Linked DNA regions of Mus musculus: all the other regions are reported to be linked to region 5. The links are microRNA targets in miRTarBase. Many come from high-throughput screens and were not tested one by one. Region 5 holds a microRNA gene; each other region holds the end of a gene's coding sequence.

Evidence for each region. The annotated mature microRNA mmu-miR-30e-5p reads UGUAAACAUCCUUGACUGGAAG and lies in region 5 at 1,207-1,228, opposite strand. An mRNA with a match to its seed (bases 2 to 7 or 8) in the 3' UTR can be bound and repressed. Matches are read on the target gene's strand: a 7mer-m8 pairs with bases 2 to 8, a 7mer-A1 pairs with bases 2 to 7 and ends in A, and an 8mer does both.
Region 1: the mRNA of Ythdc1 is a reported target of mmu-miR-30e-5p. Seed matches in the 3' UTR shown: 8mer at 634-641.
Region 2: the mRNA of Tnrc6b is a reported target of mmu-miR-30e-5p. The part of its 3' UTR that is shown has no 7-base or 8-base seed match.
Region 3: the mRNA of Fnip1 is a reported target of mmu-miR-30e-5p. The part of its 3' UTR that is shown has no 7-base or 8-base seed match.
Region 4: the mRNA of Zfp36l1 is a reported target of mmu-miR-30e-5p. Seed matches in the 3' UTR shown: 7mer-A1 at 2,365-2,371.
Region 6: miRTarBase lists Ddit4 as a target of mmu-miR-30e-5p. Seed matches in the 3' UTR shown: 8mer at 1,197-1,204.
Region 7: miRTarBase lists Pfn2 as a target of mmu-miR-30e-5p. Seed matches in the 3' UTR shown: 8mer at 1,754-1,761.

Annotation. Positions count from the first base shown.
Region 1 is chr5:86,835,332-86,838,414 of GRCm38, forward strand. Ythdc1 (YTH domain containing 1) reads left to right here. Exons shown (of 17, transcript NM_001347375.1): 17 at 353-1,328. The coding sequence ends at 577. Among named protein-coding and RNA genes, the nearest start is that of Ythdc1, 33 kb to the left of the region's middle.
Region 2 is chr15:80,928,989-80,932,071 of GRCm38, reverse strand. It overlaps Tnrc6b (trinucleotide repeat containing 6b), which reads right to left. Exons shown (of 25, transcript NM_144812.3): 25 at 1-2,983. The coding sequence ends at 2,596. Among named protein-coding and RNA genes, the nearest start is that of Mir5113, 9.5 kb to the left of the region's middle.
Region 3 is chr11:54,515,106-54,518,188 of GRCm38, forward strand. Fnip1 (folliculin interacting protein 1) reads left to right here. Exons shown (of 18, transcript NM_173753.4): 18 at 393-3,083. The coding sequence ends at 471. Among named protein-coding and RNA genes, the nearest start is that of Rapgef6, 6.2 kb to the right of the region's middle.
Region 4 is chr12:80,106,876-80,109,958 of GRCm38, forward strand. It overlaps Zfp36l1 (zinc finger protein 36, C3H type-like 1), which reads right to left. Exons shown (of 2, transcript NM_007564.5): 2 at 885-3,083. The coding sequence ends at 2,714. Among named protein-coding and RNA genes, the nearest start is that of Zfp36l1, 4.6 kb to the right of the region's middle.
Region 5 is chr4:120,771,454-120,774,536 of GRCm38, forward strand. It overlaps Mir30e (microRNA 30e), which reads right to left and starts at 1,244; the gene lies at 1,153-1,244. It overlaps Nfyc (nuclear transcription factor-Y gamma), which reads right to left. Exons shown (of 10, transcript NM_008692.4): 5 at 2,219-2,314. Mir30f (microRNA 30f) reads left to right here and starts at 1,153; the gene lies at 1,153-1,244.
Region 6 is chr10:59,947,892-59,950,966 of GRCm38, reverse strand. It overlaps Ddit4 (DNA-damage-inducible transcript 4), which reads left to right. Exons shown (of 3, transcript NM_029083.2): 3 at 1-1,292. The coding sequence ends at 431. Among named protein-coding and RNA genes, the nearest start is that of Ddit4, 2.3 kb to the left of the region's middle.
Region 7 is chr3:57,840,610-57,843,692 of GRCm38, reverse strand. It overlaps Pfn2 (profilin 2), which reads left to right. Exons shown (of 3, transcript NM_019410.3): 3 at 379-1,798. The coding sequence ends at 476. Among named protein-coding and RNA genes, the nearest start is that of Pfn2, 5.6 kb to the left of the region's middle.

The sequences.
Region 1 (3,083 bases), not on the chromosome of region 5:
TTGTTTTGTAAAATAGCAGGACATGAAAGGGTGTGTTGCACAAAGGATGGTATTTAGTGTATTTGCTAGTATATAGGTTGTAGGGATGGAGTGAGTGAACAAGGATAGTTATGACTGAGTTGTTTATTATATCTTACTAAGGAATCAAATGGAAAGTCTCTACAAGTGGAATAGGAAATTACAGGAATACATGGTGCTCTAGTTAGTGCTGGTAGTGTATATCACCATTAAGTTCCATCCATGACTTCATGGTTGCGTTTTCTGATTTCTTCTTTACCAGACAACTGATAAAAGGGTTTTTAACTTTCATATAAAGTTTTGCTTTGCTGATCTGTTTTCTCCTTTTTCCTAGCATGACTATGATATGAGGGTCGATGATTTCCTTCGCCGCACGCAAGCTGTGGTCAGTGGTCGGAGAAGTAGACCTCGAGAAAGAGATCGGGAGCGAGAGCGAGACCGCCCCAGAGATAACAGAAGAGATAGAGAGCGAGACAGAGGTCGTGATCGAGAAAGAGAGAGAGAAAGAATATGTGATCGGGACAGAGACCGAGGGGAGAGAGGTCGTTATCGAAGATAATGTGCTTTTGGAAGCACTGACTGAAGATAAAGAAAATATTGTATTTTTTTTGTGTGTGTTTACAAGTAGTAAATTTATTTTCAGCTGTCGACTTAAAGCTCATTGTGTAGAAGGATTTATTATCACCTTTGTTCCAAGCATGCAGTAGAATAAGAACTGGAAAACTCAGATCCGCCAAAAAAATGCACAGTTGACAGTTGGGTTGACTCTTTTATTGGGGCAGAATGGAACAGTCCAAGAATGTAGATATTGATTCATTCTCCATAAATGTTCTTTTTACAGTGTATTCATCCTAGAGTTATTTTGTTTGTTTGTTCTCCTTTTGGACCTTGGTCAATAACTGCCATAGAATTTCGCTTTGTGTTTCTATAGGTAGCTGCTCACGGTTCAGTAAAAATACTGCTGCTATCAAGTATGCAAATATGGAAGTATGATGGTTTGACTATATGGCAGTGTTGTAGCAGCCTCTCGGTTTTTCCTCTTTCCTCCTTTTTTTTAAACCTATAAAGTCACTTTTAAGTCTTCAATGATGAGAGCAATATTAAGAAGACGTTGCTATCTAATTTTTAATCTTTTTAAATAAAAAGTTCCTGTGTTCAGTAGCATGGTTAATGCTATTGTTTAGCCTCCCTTTTAAACTGTACACTGGCTTGGAATGTTCACAGTTTCGCGTGTGTGGCAGCAGAAGATAACCCCACATTCTACATTGCTACTGTTTTGTATGAAATAAATTGATAAAGATTGACACTAACTTGCTGTATTTCCTTGTCTGATTGCATAAGTATGACAATATATTCTCTCCTATATAAAATCCCATGGAGTGGCATTATGTTGGTAATTTAGTTTGTATTTATACATCTGATATTTTGGATCCATATTTTAGGGTTTTTTTTTTCATCTTCTGTGTTTGAATTTTTTTAAATATAGTTTTCTCTTTTCTTAGACTGTTTTTTCACATTTCTGGCAATCCTTCTTTGTAACAATCCTCTAACCACATAACAAGAAGCTGATAAAAGTGGTTTCTTTTTTCCTTTTTGCATTTAATTTCTTGATTTGAACCTGAAGTTCGGTCTGTATGAATTGACTGTCTAAACTTTGGGACTGAATTTTGGCAGTTTTCTTTTTTACAGTATTGAACTTAAGAGTTACAAAGTCAGTACATGGGTTTGTGTTTTAAGTAAGGCTGCAGAGAACACAGGAGCTTCAGTATTGTATAACTTTGGCATATCTTCCTATACACGTAAATTCTGTTTACCAATGTCAGCATTAAAGACTGCAGTCATTAAATGGAGGAGTGATGGGTCTGAAAGAGTATTTGGTGATGTTAGGTCGTGTCATTCATTTCCTATTAGTAATTTTATACATTTATAAGATACATTCTATTCATCCCTCTCCCTCCCTCTTGTCCACCTGCCCATTTTCCTCACGAGTCTCCACCTCACTTTCACAACTTTCTGTTTTGGTGACCCCACTGAGGTATTTTATTCCATCAGGTAGTTAGTTGCACATTGTATAATGTCTGCTCTCTTCCAAGTCCTTAACCACCAAATACTTTGATTAGAAGCAATCATCAGAAATGTTTGTTTTTTAAAAATTAATAGTTCTACAAAACTAGTAGGCAATATTAAAGTTCTTTCTTGATGGTAAAATGGGGTTGTAAATCACATTGAACACACTGCATTGCACACTTTTGTGCTGTATACCAACTGACTACATCTTTTATAATTCTGATCTCTGATTAGACTTGGACAGCAGGTTCATGTTCCCATAGAAGTTTTTTTCATTGCTAATGAAAAAGAATTTAAGAATATCTCAAAAATGATGAGTAGATATTCATACTTAATGTTTTAAGGATTAACTGTCTTCAGGTTTCATTAGTCATGGCTTTTCTTAAAAGTCCATCTATTGAGAAGCTGTATATTTTGTGTGTTAGCTTCTCCTGGTGGTTATCATTTCTAATCCCAACACAAAGTCCTGAGGCAAAGGATTGCCAGCAGTTTAAAGGTAGCCAGAGCAGAAGTGTTGAGTAGTTTGTTTTATTTTTGAGACATGGTCTAACACAACTCTAGAACAGGCTGGCTATAAAATCTGATATCCACCTGTCTTTTCAAACGTTTTGGGATTAAAGATAAATGCCTGCTTGCTTTAAAAGCTTTTTCAGTGGGCAATTTTGTTTACAAAATATATATCCATACAGTGATTCACCTAGGTAGTTATTACTTCTTATTTGCCATCTTTTGGGAGGGACATTTAACATGCATTTAAAAGCAGTCTTTTGCTTAAGCATACAGCATATCACTGTGTGCATTGTATCTGTCAAGCTTGGTTCTTTGATCTAACTGTAAATGTGAAGCCATTATTTCATGTGAGGCCCTCATTTCAGTCATGAAGGTCAATTCTGACAAAATAAGAGTGAGTAGTTGTCTTTTTCCTTATATAGTCTAACTAGAAGCTTCAGTTAGTGTTTTAGCTCCCACGAGGCTTTTTTAATGGTTCAGGAATGTGA
Region 2 (3,083 bases), not on the chromosome of region 5:
AGGCAGGGCCATGAACCAAGAGCGGCAGTGGACAGTCCCCACAGGCTCCCAGGAGTCTGGGGACACTAAAGTTCAGCCTTCAGTCTGCAGATGTCTGAATATAAGCGGCGCTTCACCTGGACGTCATCACCTGCGACAGAGCTCTGCTCCAACACTGAGAGTCAGTGGGGCTGGAAGGAGACATTTTGCAGGGCAGAGGTGAGAGGGGGTGGTGGTGATGGAAACCAGAGAGCAGGAGGAAGGCAGAGTCCATGAGAACAAGGTGTTGCAGGAACAAACCAGAACTGCACGCTCATTTGCCTACCCACCTGCCAAGGGCGCCCAGATTGTTAAGCACAGGTGCTCATGGGAATGGTGCCCCGTCAGCCTCCTCTGAAGCTAGGTTTATACCCAACAAGGTAAGCCAAGACGACTACAGAATTTCCCACTCACTGTCTTACAAAGCCACTTACATGCAATTTTGGGTTTTTTGTTTGTCTGTTTGCTTTTTCCTATCCATACCCCTCTACCCACCTACACCAAAGACACAAGCTGAAAGTTAAATACATTAGGCATTGTTGTATCCTTCACTGAAGATGCTAAAGAAAGAAAAACTCCCTTGTCCTCAATAGCAGCAAGTCACAGAGGACAGCAGAGGTCTGCTCCCGTCAGGGGTTGGAATGGGCAGGTAATTGCTGGTACAGAATGTCGGCACTTCATGTTGAACAGACAGTACGATGCAGACTGGGATATCACACAAGTGCTAGCATGTTCCCCGCACACATCACGCCCGCCCGCCCGCCCGCCCGCCCGCCCGCCCGCCATCTATTTAGCACGTGAGGATCCCCTTCGGGTTTACTTTCACTCTCTTCACAATAAGAAATTTGATATATTTTGATTCCAACATAGTACATACGTATTGGTGATAACTGTGGATTAAACATTGCCTCCTGTTCGGCCCAGAGAACTACTACATTGATGTTTTTTTAAAAAAGTCTTTAAATACCAAAATAAAAAAACCAACATTACAAGGAAAGAAAAAAAAAAAAAAGAGGTCAAAACCAAAACAAGGTGCAATACTTTGCTAAGTTATTTCTGCCTAAGCAAAACCACATACACAGGAAACAACACAGAGAAACAAAGGGAGACACTTGAAGTACACACTGGTTTAAGAACATTCGTTAAGTAAACGTTTCTGTCAGTGATGGCCTGGTGCTGTAACACGCCACGGCCTGGCACAGGTAATGCTCAGCGAGAGAGAGAGAGAGGGGAGCAGAGAGGGAGGCGCTGCGATGCTTCCAGGAGGCTGCTCATAACTTACTGTCTTCCTCACATGATAATGAGAACTGATAGAAGTAATTGAATTTGCATTACCTGAATCCTTTCAAAAAATTCTCACACCCGACGAGCACAGCAAAGTGGGAACTGTTTTTCAGCTTTTAAAACATCACACGATTTAAAAATTATTGAATCGTCTGTTCTCACTCAAAGTAGCCAACTGGCCAGCTCAGTCCTTAGACTCCTGCTGCCGGGCAGGCAGCTGCTTACTTCACAGCACAGAGGTGAGCAGCAGCTTCTTGGAGGGAGGGGCCTTCTGTCACACCTCTGGCCTTGGCAGTGCTCTGCTCTGCAGCTGGGTCGACAGAAGCTGGGGACCTCCCCGCCCCCCCCCCCCCCCCCCCCCCCCCGCATTCTGGCTGCTGCTCTGTCACTGAAAAGCACCCTTCATCTCGAGGCAGCCAGAAGAAGTGGCTTGAGTTGCAGCGGCTCCCTGTGCTCCTGTGTTCTCATAGTCAGAAATAATGAAAAGCGGATGGCCGGCCAGCCAGCCTTTGGAACTGTCAGCAATGCAGCTTTCTGAGAAATCAGGGTGGGGGTGGGGCGGGGCGAGGCAGGACGAGGAGGGCAGGACGCAGGCACACGAAGAGAGACAGAGAGGAGGATGCACGCAAATGCACATGAACACACGTGCACACACATACCAGAACGAGCATGCCTGGGCAGTTACATGTGCCAGAACACACTGGTATTTATCAACCAGCCAATCACAAAATTTTACCTTTTTTTTTTTTTTAAGTTTTTTTGTTTTTGTTTTTAAAGTGAGGCTCCGTCAAGTCTTCCCTCCCCCCTCCCCCAACAATTCTTTTGAATTTCCCTCCCACCCAAACATGGTAGACCTAAGGACGGAAACACACCCAGTGCAAACAAAGTTAAAAAGCTATTTTTTCAGTATATATGTTTCTTAGCAACAACTTCCATATAACATGAAAAAAGTGAAAAACTAGAAACTAATTTTTTTAATTTTTTTGTGTTTAAATTTAAATGGTATGTGTACTTGCTTCACATTGTCTTTCTAGGTTGGCGTTCATGATTCAAGTATTTCAAGAGTGATATGTTCTCTTTTTGGATTCATATTCCAAACGAAAAAACTGAAGTTTTAAGGGAGGCAACTATGTGCTCAGACAGTCTGTCAATGACCCACCTTTTTTCTCTCTCCGTTTTCTTTTTTCCTTTTAAAAATGTATTTATTGCAAGTTGAAAAAAAAAACGAAAAGGTCAAGTTAGTGCTGCTGCTGTTCCAAAAAAGGTCACGAGGTCAGAGTTGAAAGTTTAAGTTCAGATTGAATCCGACCCTCCTCCCAGAAGGTCACCAGGTAGTAAAGGAGCAGGGCTGCCCATCCTATGGGGATCTTCCACCGTCGGGACTCCCCACAAGCTAGAAGAATAGTTTGGGGGGCCCCACAAGGAAGTGCCGGCAAGATCGGCCCCACTGCTGCCACCAGCGCTGCTGCTCCACTGCCCGAGCCCGGTGGACCCACCGAAAAGGTTCAGCGCAGGTCCAACGGGGTCTGCTTGGTTCTGGCTGGTCTCCAGGGACTGCCACCCTGTGGCAGGTGCACTCGGGGTGGCTGCAGGCGTAGGGGGCTGAGCTTGAGCCAGAAAGCGGCTGACTTCATCCTCAGTGGCAAACTCGGCCAGGATGGTAGTGTTTCCCAACACACACCTACAGAAAGGAGAAGAGTCACGTGATCCGAGGGATCGCCAGCAAGGGGGTGGGGGTGGGGTGGTGTACAGCTGTCAGCCCTCTGCTACTGTGTTGTCTG
Region 3 (3,083 bases), not on the chromosome of region 5:
GGAATGATGTATTTTCAAGACATTTCCATTACTTGTAGCATATATTATAGAAACTTTTGGTTAAAAGCTTACACAGACTATTATTTTATTACTAGTAAATTGTATTTCTTGCACATCCGTCCCTAGATGAATAACAGGTCAACTGTGGTGCTTTCCTGTGTCTGTTCCCTGGCTGCTTTGCATTTAGAAGCATCCATTCCTTTGAGTCTGTGGTGCTACTGTTGGTGAAATTTTCCAGGTGTTGTTATCTTTAGCTCCTTGCCCTTTTGCTTTTGTCTAGGATAAGCACCATAGTGCTGAGGTTCACTGGCCATGGAGGAGTGACTATTGCCTCTAAGATTCATAGTTTGGATACAGAAAGCCTCAACTGAGTTGTCTTTTCTTTATTTCAGGATTGAATCCAGTGACCTTCCTCTTCTGGCTGCGGTAGCAAGCACCCACTCTCCATACGTTGCTCAGATACTCCTTTAACATGTCTAGAGGCTAACTTTGTTTAAAGTTGAATAGAAACCAAGGAGACAGGCGCTGTATCTGTGGAGCTGTTGCTGTTCTGTGATGTTTGTTTTGTGCATTACGCTTTAGGTGAACGCATCACCCTGCGCTGCGGTCTGTGTAGACCAAATGACTTTTTATTTTTAACTGGACATCTGAGCAGTGGTAGATTTTTCAACTAAGTGAAACTAAATCAAAATAATTGGGGGTATGTAGAGGGGTGGAATTTGCAAAAGCCAAAGTGTAACTTAGAATTTTCTGTGAATATACAGGAATTTCATACAAACTCTATAAAATGTCACAACTCATGAATAGCAATAGTTGTCTCATGATCAAATGTCAGAAATCTTCAATTCACTGATTTTTAATTTTTAATTCTATGGTACAGAAATCTACAAGACCTTGATTTGTTTGTTGTTTTGCAATTCAGATCAACTTATTTCTAGTTATTTAAGTATTTTTTTTATTAAAAACAACTGTTAATTATGAGAAACTCAGAATGAGTGAAGATGTCATGTGCCCATCCCAAGTGTACATATGTATCTATTTTTTTAAAAAAGCAGGGGTAGAAATACAATATTGATAAAAATGCCTTTTTAAAAAAATATTTTTTCATCTAGTATTGTATATAATGTTGAAATACTACCTTCTGATGATTTTTCTGTTTCACGCATTCTAAAATGTATTTAAGCCAATCTTTTTGAGGCTCAAGGTTCTAGATTCCCTAAGGATACTACTTTTTACCATTTGTTTTCTAAGAATAAGCTAATTCTTATCAATATTTACATATTAATTTAATAAATAAAAATTAAGATTAAAAAGTGCACCAAAGCAATGGCAAAAATACTGTATTTTTTAAATATGCTCAGGTGGCCACAAACTTCAGTATCGACCATTATAAACCCATATGAGCAGAATATTTCCTAACAATCCTCAATTTACACTAGTAGAAGTAATATCTTTAAAAACTGTTCTTTCTTTAAGTGTTCCTTTCTTTCAAATGTTGATTGCTTTTCAAAGCTTTCCCCTTATCTGTCATTGTCTTTGTATATAGTGCAGATTGTTGCTTGTAAGAAAGGCTAATAAGGAACCAAACTCTTGTAAGTAATGTAAATAAAAAGGTGGGTAGATCATGTTTTCAATATACTCTACTACCTCAGTTTACTTGAATACTGAATTAGAGCTTACTCTCTGCTTGTGTGGGCTAAGATATACATAATGCTAGAATTAAAGTTGGTTTCTGTTTTCATTGACTAATTCTAAATTGTTTAGCTCAAAAAAAAAAAAGAGAGAAAGAAAGGAAAAAAGAAAGAAAAGAAGAAAGGAAGGAAGAAAGAAAGAAAGAAAGAAAAACATACCCCCCCCCAAAAAAAATCCTACCCACGTGTTCGGTTACTGAATAATTTTATTATAACATATCCATTCTTGCTATTTAAATTTTTCAGTAATTAATGAAAAATTTCTGTGGTTTATAGTCTTCAGAATCTTGAATTTATGTGTCTGGTTACATTTATCTTGCTCTTTATGTGTGTTCAAGAGAATTCCAACTAGAAAAGAATAAATAGAATGTTTTAATGGAACATAAACCCCAAATTTAGGGTATCTACAGTTGGCCTTGGTTCTGTTTGTTGGTTCCAGTTAGTACCTGGGTCTCCCATGGATGACTTGGTGCCAAAGGGTTTTTTTATAGATGTGGAGATTTTGGGGGTTTTTGTTTTGTTTTTGATGTCCTTGTAACCCATTTGTTAGTGGAATTGCTCTGTTGTATTCTGTTGAAATTCAGTGAGTAGATTTCTGTTAGAATTTAGAATCTGGGAAAGCTACGGGCCATTGTACATTATTTTTTGATTGTGGCTCAGAATAATATGTATAGCAGGTAGATAATGTTTTGGGATGTTTTCTTGAACATGGAACTTTTCATAGTTCTATTTGAAATCTGTCATTACTTAGAAATTCTAGTCTTTAATAAGTGAATGGCTTGTGCACCTAATATTCTCAAAACTCAGCTTTGCTGGAAAGGTCTATAGTTTCTTAAAAACTCGCTAGTCCTTATAGGATTCCTGAGTTTGTAATACTTTTATCATCATATTCTTTACTTACTCAAAGCCCAAGGAATGAGCTGCTACTTCACTACAGTGTGGCTGTGATAAATGTGAAAAGAGTTTTGGCCTGTTTAAAATAATTTTTCAACTACTTAATGGTACAGACAAATATGTGCTGCATAATAAAAATACCTGTTTATTGTTACAGGAAATTAAAAAGGGATCTTTTATATTATAGGATTAAAACTAATTTTCTGTATATGTTAACTAATTGATTTAATTTTAAGTATCTTGCATTTATTAATATGTCTTAATTTTGAATTTGAAAACATGAAGTGCAATAAACATACTACTACAGATTTCATTTTGTTGCAATTGGCACGCAGTGCAGATGATCACTAACAGTTTGCATAATGCCTCCATCGGTAGCTGTCCTCTGAGAATGTTCTGCTTTCTCTTGAGTTATTTAGATGACGAATATATACAATGTACATACTTGTTTGTTGTTCTGAATACATTTCTCAAATGTACACCTGTATTATAATAACC
Region 4 (3,083 bases), not on the chromosome of region 5:
CTCCCAGACCCTACTCCTTTAAAAGAATCACTTTCCAGCAGGGTCCTGGTGACACATGCCTTTAACCCCAGCACTCAGTAGGCAGAGGCAAGTGGATCTCTTAAGTTTGAGGCCAGCCTGGTCTACAGAGAAAGTTCCAGGACAGCCAGGGCTGCAGAGAAACTGAAAAATCCAAAATTCCAAAGAGAGAGGGGGAAAAAAATCACTTTCCAGGGGCTCCCTGATCCTGGCTGTCTGTCTCAGGATCCTCCTGCCTCAGCCTCCTCCAGCAACTCTTGCGCCACAACTGGCCTACCACCTCCCTTGATGGGAACTACTGACTTCCTATACAGTCTATGTTAACCTCCATCTTCCCTTTCCAGCCCTGCAGTCAAATCCAGGTGCAGACTGCCCTTTCCCATCCTGGTGGCTCCTCTGCAGGCAGGCAGTGCTTCCTCATACCGGTTCAGGGGTGTACTGAGGCTAGGACCTTGACTAGGTTAATGCCTATGAGACCAATACCTATGAGCCCTTGACACAGTCAATGTAAGCCAGCAAGTGCAGCATGGGCTATGTACTTTATCAGTAGCACCCTGACCATCCCCCAAAGGAAGTTCATAGTGGGAAGACTGGATGATCCTGTCACAGCTCCCTACAGTAGCCAAGGTCACACAGGTCAGCAAGGATACCCTGGACCTGCTCTCTGCAGGCTCCTTTGCTAAAAAAAAAAAAAAAAATAAATAAAATAAATAAAAATAAAAAATACCTCCGCCCCACCCAAGCTGAGTGACCTTAAGGCATCAACATCCAGAGTTATGGGTTTAGCTTTAAAGATGAAAGACCAGCCACCTCGTTGCCCCAAGGAGTGTCAGACCAAGGAAAAACCTATAGACAAATCATTTCTTGAAAAACGGGGTTTATTGATTTTTAAACTGCAAATAGTCGTTACAAAAAGTTTTTTTTTTCTTTTAAATAAATTCACACAAAGAAAGAGAAATAGAAAGCGACGGTAGTGACCAGCAAGAGGAATAATAATTACATTCATCTTTATGTGTGTGCGCCAGTTGTTTATGTCAACATTGGAAAACTCCAACCTGGAATCCAGAACCACAAATCTGCGAGCGGAATGTCTTGAGATGGGCACATGGAATTCAAAGGGTTTTTCTCTTTTTTTGTTTTCCCTTTTAGAAGCTATACATAAAATGGTGGTTTTCCTTCTGTACTGTCACAGAACTTATACATACATTCTCAGTCCTACCTGTGAAAGGCCTAAGGAGAAAGAAACTCAATTTGCAGTCCAACACAAAGGGGAGAATTTCTAAAATAAATAATCCAACAGTTTTTTGCATTTTTTTAAATTAATTTTTCATTTTTTTAAAATAAAATAACCAAAAAAAGTGTAAAGTTACAAAAATGTTGTTGAAGAATAATATATTAAAACTGTGGAAAAAAGGAAAGACACGTCACAAAATTTTAAGATTAATATGAAGATCATAATTTAACATAAAAGAATATATTCTATGGATTTGTCATCCCGATAAATATGAACAAAATTAACAAAAAAAGCATAGTTTGGCAATAAATACGTTTTGATAAGTTAAATAAGCTTTTTTATATTGATGTGCAGTGATAAGCAACATTTTTGCTCTCCAATTTCTGAAAGTTAGATGAAGTTTAAACCCAGGGAAAAAAGCATTGTGTGGGGGCTCTAAGGTAGACCTAAGGTATTCTAGAGCAAAATCCATTAAAGCTACTTCTACAGGAAATCGTTTTACACAGATATTGTATGTGGAATGCAGACCATTAACTGCTCACCCCTTACATGTTTTTTTTTGTTGTTTTTAGCTTTTCTCTCATTTGTTGTCATTTTTAAGATGTCACATATGAATTGGGGAACTTTAGCACCAAAATCAAGTCTCTCATAGTCCATCTAGTTTCCCCTTCCTCCCCACTTAAAAAAAAAAGAAAAGAAAGAAAGAAATTAAATCACGAAGTCCCACTTATGTCAAAACCTTCGTCCAACTTGTTCAACCTTTGTCCCTGGAGACCTACACAAACCCAGGCAAGATTAGTCAACAGGGGTTCGGGCTGGGAAGTAAAAGGTTTTGAAAGTCAAAATAGACCCCTCCCCCCAAAAAAACCCCAAGTCCAGCAACAACTCTCTGAGGGAGGTGAGTAACTATAAGGAAGAGGAAGAGTGTGCGGGAGACCGAAAGAAAGGTGCACTTGTGTGGCCAGCTGGGGGAGCTGCTGGTTGCGGGTCACCCCACCCCCACCCCCAACCCCACGGGCAGAGGCTCTGGGAGGCCCACGGGTGCCCCCTGGCGTTGAAGAGGTAATGTAGTCACAGTGACAAAGTTAGATTACAAGGCACTAAGTTGCTTCTGTAAACGGTTACTGCTTTTTTTCTTTTGTGATTTGGCACTTAAGGCTTAAGCCGGGGGGGGTGGGGGGGGGTAAAAAAAGGCATCTACTGACAAAAGATGGAACTCTGTTATGCGTGGTTAAGTGGGCTATGAAATGGAGGGAGAGGGTTTCAAGCCAGAAGCTACCAACAAATTGACTTGTCCTTATGTGGGGGGAGGGTAACATACCAAGGTTGTTCTGGGAAAGGGGCTGAGCTTAAATGTATCAATGTGGGGTTTGAGGGAAAGTTAGGGGGTGGGGAGGTGAAGGGAAGAGATGGGGTGGAGAGGTGAAGGAGGCATGGGGGGGGGTCCCTCCCTACCCTGGCTTAGTCATCTGAGATGGAGAGTCTGCTGAAAATGGGCAGGCGTCTTGAGTTGTCCAAGGTAGGGGAGTCTGAGCCACTGTGGCTGGAGCTGGAGCTGCTCAGATAGCCCTCGTGGTCCGAGAGAGAATCCTGAGGGCTGGGGGGAGAGTCAAACATGTGAGGGGATTCGGACATGGGCCGGAAGAGGAAAGTGGTGGGGGAGCCTCCCCCAGGCAGCCCCATGCTAGGAGCAAAGAGGCTCGCCAGCTCCTGGCTGGAAAAGGCGAAGGGGTTATTGGTGCCATCGGGCAGAGTAGGTGAGCCCAAGAGGTCATCGGCGCTCAGGATAGGGGGTGGGGTGATGGATGTGGGGCTGTCCAGCAGCCCCGTG
Region 5 (3,083 bases):
ACAGTATCACAGCACAGGGTCATCACTACACTGATGAGCAGCCAGCTCCAGACTAGGGGAAAAAATACATTTGCTTTAGTGGCAGGGTGAACTGCTGCCTCCTTCAGAGGGTGTGTTTTGGAGAGTAGGCACTTTTAAAGGACTTTAGGAGGTGCCAGCCAATTTGGAGCTTGGGAAAACTTCATGTCTACAGAGAATTAAAAAATGCTATCTTAGAATTTCAGGCCAGCTTTCAGCAATCTCAACCTTTTAAATGCCAGGCAGCAGCTGTCCTGAATAGGATGCCAATCAATAGCTCAAACACCTACAAAGAACTAAAACCAGGCAGCTAAAGGAGTGTTCTTGCTGTATACCTTTTAAAGGGAGATGGACTAAGTATAGTGGTCCATGCCTTGAATCCCAGCACTCAGGAGGCAGAAGCAGATAGATCTCTCCGAGTTCCAGAACAACCTGGTCTACACAGTCTAGTCTAGCCAGGGATACACAGGGAGAGCCTATCTCAAAAATCCAAACCAAACCAAAGAACAAAAGAGGGAGATGGGGTAGACCACCAGCAAATCTAACACCCTGACAGACCCAGAAGAACAAACAACTTTGGAGGAAGGTATAGGTCAGCAGCTCTCAACCTGTGGGTTGTGACCCCTTTGTGGGATGGAAAGATCCTTTCACATGGATCACCTAAGACTACTGAAAAACAGATAGTTGCATTAAAATTCATAACAGTAGCAAATTACAGTTATGAAATAGCAATGAAAAAAATTTTATTGTTGGGAGGTTATTACAACATGAGGAACTGTATTAAATGGTGCAGCATTAGGAAGGCTGAGAACCACTGGTATAGGATAATAACTTTCTCTTTAGTCATCTATTCAGCAGGCAGCCCATAGTGAACAATCAGTACAATAAGAGCAATGCCTGACTGCATCACAGATCTTACCACCTTGTCTTTAAAGGAAACTCCTGGTGGATACATGGGAGCAAAAATCCAATAAGGAAAACAGGCTCATGGTATTATCAGCTCCAAACGAAGAGAGACAGTCTGAGTTCTTGTGACTTCTCAGAGAGAAAGGAAGTAACCCAAGAAAAGGAGACAAGTTCATGGGCACAAACCTGCAATGTCTCAAAGCCGATGAGCGCAGCCGGGGACGACTGTGGCAGCCTGCCGCTGTAAACATCCGACTGAAAGCTCCTCTCAACACCTTACAGCTTCCAGTCAAGGATGTTTACAGTAGCAAAGACTGCCCAGAAAAATAAAGAGCTTCAGTGAGGCACAACCTGCTCCCATAAGGAGGTGACCCAGGGCTTGCTAACCCAAAAACCCTCATGCAGGGTCAGAATTAATGTCAATTAGGATGCCCACTTCTCCAACAGGTTTTCTGACTGGTTATTTGTACAGGTCAACATGGGGAGAATGGTTGTCATTAAATGACTCTAAACAGTATACTACAAAATAATTAGTTAAAAACACTTATATTTTATGAACAAAAATAAAACAAGCAGGACATGGTATGGCTTTACTTCTCTGAGGCATATTACACTAAACCTAGTGAATCATGCAAACTGCGTGCCTGAAACAATGAGCTCTATAGGACTGGGGTCTATCACAATCACAACTAAGTTATATGCACCCAAGTGCTGAACAAAACAAATGGTGTGATCTTTGGAGATGAACAGGCAGAAGAAGGGCAGACACTTAGTTCTTGTAATTAAAAAGAAAAATGTAAATGGTGGTTCTAAAACTTCACTGGACACCAAAGCATCTAGGGAACTTTAATTATTGATTCCTGGGGTCATGGGGTCATAGGTTCTGACTCAGTGGATGATGGGTAGAGTCATCACACTACAGAGACACAGCATAGAGTAAGAAAATAAAAGCCACTGGCTCCAATCTGATCACTATGCACAAAGAGGTTGTTTCTTAGAATCTGAAAACTGACTGGCTGAAAAAGCTTTTATTTTAGATGAAGAAATCCTGAACTGAGCTTCACCCCACTATCTGTGACTAGTCTTTTTAACTTTGTTCTCTCACTGCAACCCCACCCCAGAGGCACTGAGTTAAAAGTACCCATAAATGAGTAGAAGGAGATGCTGAGGATGATCTGGACTACGGAAGAGAACCACAAACAAGAAATGCTTTGGGTGGGAGGGAGGGAGGAGCTCCGGAGAGCATCTTGCCCAGGCCCTGGAGGTGGCAGCTGAGCAAATCCTCCCAGCTCACCTGGCGCTTTGGAGGTTTCAGTTCATCTCTTGGAACAATATCGATGAGAAAGTCGAACTGATCAAATTTTGTAATTGCCATGGCAATATCATTCCTCTGTAACAAAGAAAAACAAAGTTAAAAACTGGCCTAGGAAGAATCTAGTTCTTTTGGCTGTTATCCTTCAAGTAAAAGGACATGATCCTCTCCTATCCCCTAGTCCCAGTGTCTGGGATTAAACCTAGAGCTTTACACAAGCTAGACAGGTATTCTACCATTGAGCTATGCCCCAGCCCAAGGAGATGACTTTTAGACTGTACTAAAAATCTCTAGGTTTGTCTAGAGCTAAAAATAAGAACAGCTCAATTTATATCAGACTTGCTGGACAGAAATCAACGAAAGAGATACACATATCTCGTGCTCTAGGCCAGGACATCTGAGCCCTACTCACCACTATTTCTGCTTGTTCTGGTTTCAAAGCTTCCATAAAGTTGTAAAACCACCATCCTCTGGCTAATTCAGGACAAAGCCAGCAGTCTCAACTGGCATTCTGTGGTCCACAAGGTCAGCCCATCATTCACTTGTATGATCTTTTTAAAGGCCCTAAGCACTGTTTGTTGTTGTTGTTGTTGTTTTTCTTTTTACAGGCACTTATAATCCAGTCGCTTGATTTTTATGTTACCTATGGGTTTTAGTTTAGAAATCAAAACTGCACTGCTTAATGAATAGTTTAATCCGAATTTGAGCCTGAATACTCAAGCCTGAATTTACTATAGGTAGGTAGTGAACACAGAGCTGAAAAGAATGTCACAAGTGGACTTTCTCTTCAAGTCTGATATTATTCCCCTTCCTTTGAATAATAAAAATCAACACTTTTTCTCCCATA
Region 6 (3,075 bases), not on the chromosome of region 5:
AGCACCTGTGTGCCAACCTGATGCAGCTGCTGCAGGAGAGCCTGTCCCAGGCGCGATTGGGCTCGCGGCGCCCTGCGCGTTTGCTCATGCCGAGCCAGCTGGTGAGCCAGGTGGGCAAGGAACTCCTGCGCCTGGCATACAGTGAGCCGTGCGGCCTGCGGGGGGCACTGCTGGACGTGTGTGTGGAGCAAGGCAAGAGCTGCCATAGCGTGGCTCAGCTGGCCCTCGACCCCAGCCTGGTGCCCACCTTTCAGTTGACCCTGGTGCTGCGTCTGGACTCTCGCCTCTGGCCCAAGATCCAGGGGCTGTTAAGTTCTGCCAACTCTTCCTTGGTCCCTGGTTACAGCCAGTCCCTGACGCTAAGTACCGGCTTCAGAGTCATCAAGAAGAAACTCTACAGCTCCGAGCAGCTGCTCATTGAAGAGTGTTGAACTACATCCTGGGGTGGGGTGCGGGGAGGGTTTCTCACTGCCCCCCAAAGTGAAGACAAGGAATTTCTGTGGTGGAGACCCGCAGGCAAGGACTGAAGGACTGTCCCCTGTGTTAGAAAACTGACGATAGCCACCTGAGGGGCGCAGGGCCAGGTGGGGGAAGGAAGTGTTCTCCAGGAAGTCTCTAGGTTGTATGCAGGTGGCTCCCTGTTGGGGCACACGCCCCTCAGTACTGTAGCATGAAACAAAGGCTTAGGAGTCACACAGGCTTCTGGCTGGATGTGTATGTAGCATGTACCTTATTTTTTTTTATTACTGACAAGTTACAACAGCAGTTGTGGGCCAGAGCCAGAAGGGCAGCTGGTCTGCACTGGCCTCTGCCCCGGCTGGGGGTTGGGGGCTGGGGGGGAGGCAGGGGGAGGTGGCCGACAGTTTGTGTATCTTCTGGTCTGAAAGGACCTAGTGTGTTTTGTCATTTGTTTTGTATCTTGGTTTTGGGGGGTGGGGATCGGCGCTTCACTACTGACCTGTTCGAGGCAGCTATCTTACAGACTGCATGAATGTAAGAGTAGGAATGGGGTGGGTGTTAGGATCATTCGGGATCTTCGACACTTGAAACAAAATTACACCTGGGAGCTGCAGCCAGCCCATCCCGGTGCCCATGTACTGGAGGATTCAACTGTGAGGAGAGGGGCTGGGGTGGGGGTGGGGGGCTGGAACCCTCTTTTCCCAGAGGAGTGCCACCTGGGTCTTCCATCTAGAACCTGTTTACATGAAGTTACTCGCGGTTCATGAATACACTTGATGTTCAAGTATTAAGACCTATGCAATATTTTTACTTTTCTAATAAACATGTTTGTTAAAACACTTGAGTCTCATCGGCGCCATAAATGAAAAGGGAGAGTGGTGGGTGCTGGTCACAAGTTTCATCAGATTTCAGGGGCCACTTGTGTGTCCCCTGACTGCCTGGTAACTGCCATCAGAGCTCCTGGACTGCCTGGCAACCTGGGAACTGTGCCATCAGAGCCAAGGTCCCTCAGTTCTGCTGAGTGGAGCTACCAGGAGAATGTGCTGGAAAGCACCCGAAGGTGAAAGATGAGTCAGACCTCCCTGGAAGTCTGAGTCTCTACAAGGAGGGTTACCTTGCTCTCCAGGTGAGAAGGCCCAGTCTCCTTAGCCTAAGGCCTTTTCTCTGAGGAAAAGTCTAGACTGATGTGGTACATAGTCAAGGGTATGGTTTTATCTCTGGGTATAAAAAAAGGTTAAGAGACCTTTGCAAAAGACAATTCAGTTTAAACCTCTCCCTAGGCAAGAAACCTAGGCTCAGGAGATGTGGCCCAGGCAGGAGCAGAGACCATACAAAGGCAGGGGGATGACGAGGGTGACCCCTGACTTCCTTCCCAGACAGAAGGCTGGAGTTGGGTTTCTTATCAGAAATGTTGGAGTTGAGCCAAGAAGGCCAAGGCCTTTCTCACTTGTCCCCGACTCCAGAGTCCACCCACACCAAGTGGCCCTTGGAGAATGACTGTCTCCTTTGTTTCTCTTCCTGATCCCAGACTGCCTTTGTGTGCCCCAAGACTGTAAAAAAACGGTTCTTGGTTTTGCATCCTTTTGGAGGGCTTAGTTAGAACAGTTCCCTCAGGCTGGGGATGTAGCTCAGTGTAAAGTACTTGCCTGACAAGTAAAAGACCCTAGACTTATCTCCACATCTCCCACCAACCACAAAGGAAAGCCAGATCCTTCCAGTGAGCTGAAAGCAGAGACTAAAAACATCTGGTTTTCCTCGGGGATTCTATCCAGGACCTGACCTTTGGGGTAGCCCAGGAGACCCACATCTCTTTCATAGAATCCTCAGAGCTTATTCCCCAAAATGAGTAAACCTGAGTTAGAAGCCAGGTGTGACAGTCAATGTACAACCGGAATCCCAGTACTTGAGAGGCGAAGGCAGGGGGATTGCCATGAATCCAACCTATATAGTGAGCTTGAAGCTAGCCTGGGCTGTAGAGTCAACTCCAGACTTGCCTGGACTAGTCTAGATGAGTTTGAGACCAGCTATAATAACATAGATTCTACTTCTCTCAAAAATAAAGTAAAATAAAATAAAGCAAGGGAAGGAGGGTGGGAGGGAGGATACAGACAGCCTCACCTATCTTAGGGTCCCTCTTAGTAACCATCCTAAGAGGGGTAGGTTGGGCAGGGGTGTTCTGTAATGTCTTTGGGCATGGAGAATGACCATCTCTTCAGACAAAGGCTGACCCATGCTCACTCAACCTGAGGGTGCAGCCCACCCCCACCCCCCTTTAGCTGACAGATGCTGTTCATAAAACTGAGACTATGACATTGCTTGCTCCTCTGTGTTCCTAACCCCAAGCAAAAGCCAGGAAAGCCACAGCCAGCCCTTCCCCTGCCTTGGTATCTCCAGGTCTGAGTGGGTCCTTCCATTTCAAAGCTGGTCAGATGGAGGTAGGAGGAAGGACTGCTTTCTTAGAACCAGTGTGACCCAGAAGCCTAAAAGCCGGCTCAGCACCAGACTCTACTCTCTCAAGTAACCTCTGCCAGGGACATGGGCCTCTCTGCCTTTCCTTTAAAACCCAGAGAAAAGTATCAGCCTTCTAGGTCTCTCCTCTGCCTCCCCCCCCCTGCA
Region 7 (3,083 bases), not on the chromosome of region 5:
TGTTACATTTGGGGAGAGTTTGTAAATGAAAAATATGAAAGTTTTTAAAGTATGTTGTAGGAGATGAATAGCATGATATCAGCCAGACTGTTTCTCCTAGGATGCAAGGTAAACTGTCACTTTCCTCCTAGCTCTCATAAAGATCCCTTTATGGAAATTAGCTGCTGTACAGTGGGGTTTCCTACATGCATCCAGTAGTGTGCTGTTTTTAGTTTATTTACTAGCCTGAAGGCTCTCCATTCTGGAGACATAATGGATTTCAGTGTTTAACAGTTCATGGAAACTAACTTAATGTTAATTTATTAATCTATCTGCTTAAACTTACGTGATTTCTTGATTAACACTCCTTTTGAAACACTTTTCTCCTTTTTCTTTCAGTCTTGGTCTTTGTAATGGGAAAAGAAGGGGTCCATGGAGGCGGATTGAATAAGAAGGCATACTCAATGGCAAAATACTTGAGAGACTCTGGGTTCTAGCTGCTAGGCAGACTGTTAAGTATTAGGGGAAAATTGCTCTTAAATTTTCCTAGCTGTAAGCTTAAGTCTCCTTTGTATCCCTCTGTTGGTGGGGAAAGGTGTCTTTCTTTCTGCCCCTTCCCCTTAAATAATTGTGTTCATTTTTGTTTTGTTTCCTTGTGTACTCCAGCATTGGTTATAGTCATGGGAAAGGAAGGTGTCCACGCAGGCACAATTAACAAGAAAACATATGAACTCGCTTTATACCTGAAGAGGTCTGTAACCAACCTTTATCTGGCATCATAATTGCAGCACAATAATGATTTGCATGATATCTTGAAACTGGGGGAAGGGGGCATGCCAAGTTGGGCATCACTTCGTCTTAGCAGTTAGTGGATTACTGATTACTAAAATAGGTTAATAGTAAGCAAGGTGCCGGTGTACAGTCTCTAACTCGATCAGTGTCTTTTCAGCACTTTGGAGCATTTCCTTGGCTCATCTAGTCTTCCTTTTGTAGCGCATGGTTGGGAGGAAAAAGTGCATGCCTCTGTACGTCACACCTTTCTCACCCCTCCCTACCAACACGAGGTGTTTGGTCTGCTTCCATTCTCTTCTGTGTAGTGCCTGGTTTATTTAACTAATTAATACCTCCTCTGTTGATGAGCTATTGAGAGTTGCAGTGTTTTACTTTTTAATACAGTGACTGCACTTGGGACAGACTATTTGTAGTGTCTATAGGACATGAAGCGTGCAGCTTGGAGAGCAAAGGCACTTCCTCCCACGACCTTACTGCAGTAACCATACCGATCAAATTCCCAGGGACATTCTGTCATTGCAGTAGCTCAGACCTGTCTTTTCTTGCACACCAGCTGTGCTCTTGAGAAAATGTAAAGGCTGCCATTATGGATATTAGGTATCCCAACATAACCATCTGGAGTGTGTCCAGTTTATTTTTCATAGGACCAATTTTTATTTGCAGCTTAGGTTTTTATATGAAGTTGCATTATTGTGGACTTGGCTGTCTTGTGATGTATTTTTTTCATATGTATCCTGTGCCATACTATTGTTAAAATGAACTGTTGCTATTGTGAGATGGATTTCCTTTCGAATGGCACTACCTTAGGGACATTCTAGTATTGCTTCTATTGTTTGGGCATTGTGGATAATGTACAGATTTAAAAACAAATCTTGTTGCTGATTTGTCCATTTCTTTCCCTGCACTTTGTTACATCTGGGATACAGTCTAACTCATCTGACTTAATATGCATTTAAAAAAATGCCATAACTATTAAACACCTTGTTTACAGACAGATGAAATAAATTTATTCCAACCAAATACTCCATTGGACTCCTGTTTTTATTATAAATTTTTGGCTTTGTTGTTATTGTTGATCTTGGAGGGTAGAGGGGAGGTATTTGCTGTGTAGTCCTTGTTGGCCTTTAACTCAAAGTACTCCTGCCTAAGCCTTCAGAGGCAGCTTTAGCTGACAAGGGACTCTGAGGGAAAGACCAAACTCATCTGCAAGCACATGAAAGGCCCTACAAATTTCTTTTCACTAAGCTTTGGCCTACTAAATGTGGCTTTTGTGTCTTCATTTTATGATCATCCTCAGACTTAATGTGAAGAAAAGTAACCTGCTAGGGAATAAATATATCACGTTGGCCTCTCGATGAGAACTCAGTCTCATAAGCACGAGGCCCCACTGGCAAGAAGAGTTTCTGGCAAGAAGACTCCATTATGGAGGGTTCTTCTGGACTGAAGTGTCAGTGACTGTAGATTTGTAGTCTGTGTTGGCAGCCTGATGTCAGCCAGGCAGTCTCATAAAAGACCAGAGGCCATTCCTCAGTCAGCACTCAGGAGACTGATGCTAATGCATTTTCTGGTTTTCAGAGTAATGGGTAGAACACAGCTAAATATTTTAATCTAACAGTCTCTTTAGTAAATAAGTTCAAGACTTTTGAGGCAAACCTTTACTGCAAATTATCCAGCAGAAACCTAGCAGTAGGTGCTCCGGTTATCCTCAGTGAAACTGAGGAGCTGGTAACATGGACATAGCCCCAGGTCACACCTTAGAGGTACAGAGTCCACAGGCCAGGGAGTCAGGGTTTAGAAATAAGCAGTGTGTCTTGTATTTGTTGACCTGCATTACTACCCGTGAGAAAGACTGGGCTAGGGAACAGGAATTAATCTTTTCCATACTTAAAATATACTGCACATAATGAATTTTCCCTTTTCAAGTTGCTAGACAGTAATTTTGAATTAAATTTACATATAAGATGTAAAATATTTAGAAGATAGAAAACTGGGTTTACTTTGGTTCATTAAGAAACCCAAGACTTTACAGAACAGTTAAAACCTGGTATCAGTCTTTGTTAAGAATAAAGATGGACAAATGAAAATTTAGAGATAATGTGATTTGAGGTTTTTGAGCAATTATTCCCATCTGATTTGTAGTAAACCACATTGTGAAACCCTTAACAACTACCAAGAAATTGCGAGAGAGTGATTGTCACGCTGAATAGTAAAAGGTTGTCACTGGTTCTTGCTCACAATTTTAAAAGAAAATATACTTAGGGAAATGTATGTGGGGTGGTATATGTGTGTGTGAGCCTATCATATATATATAT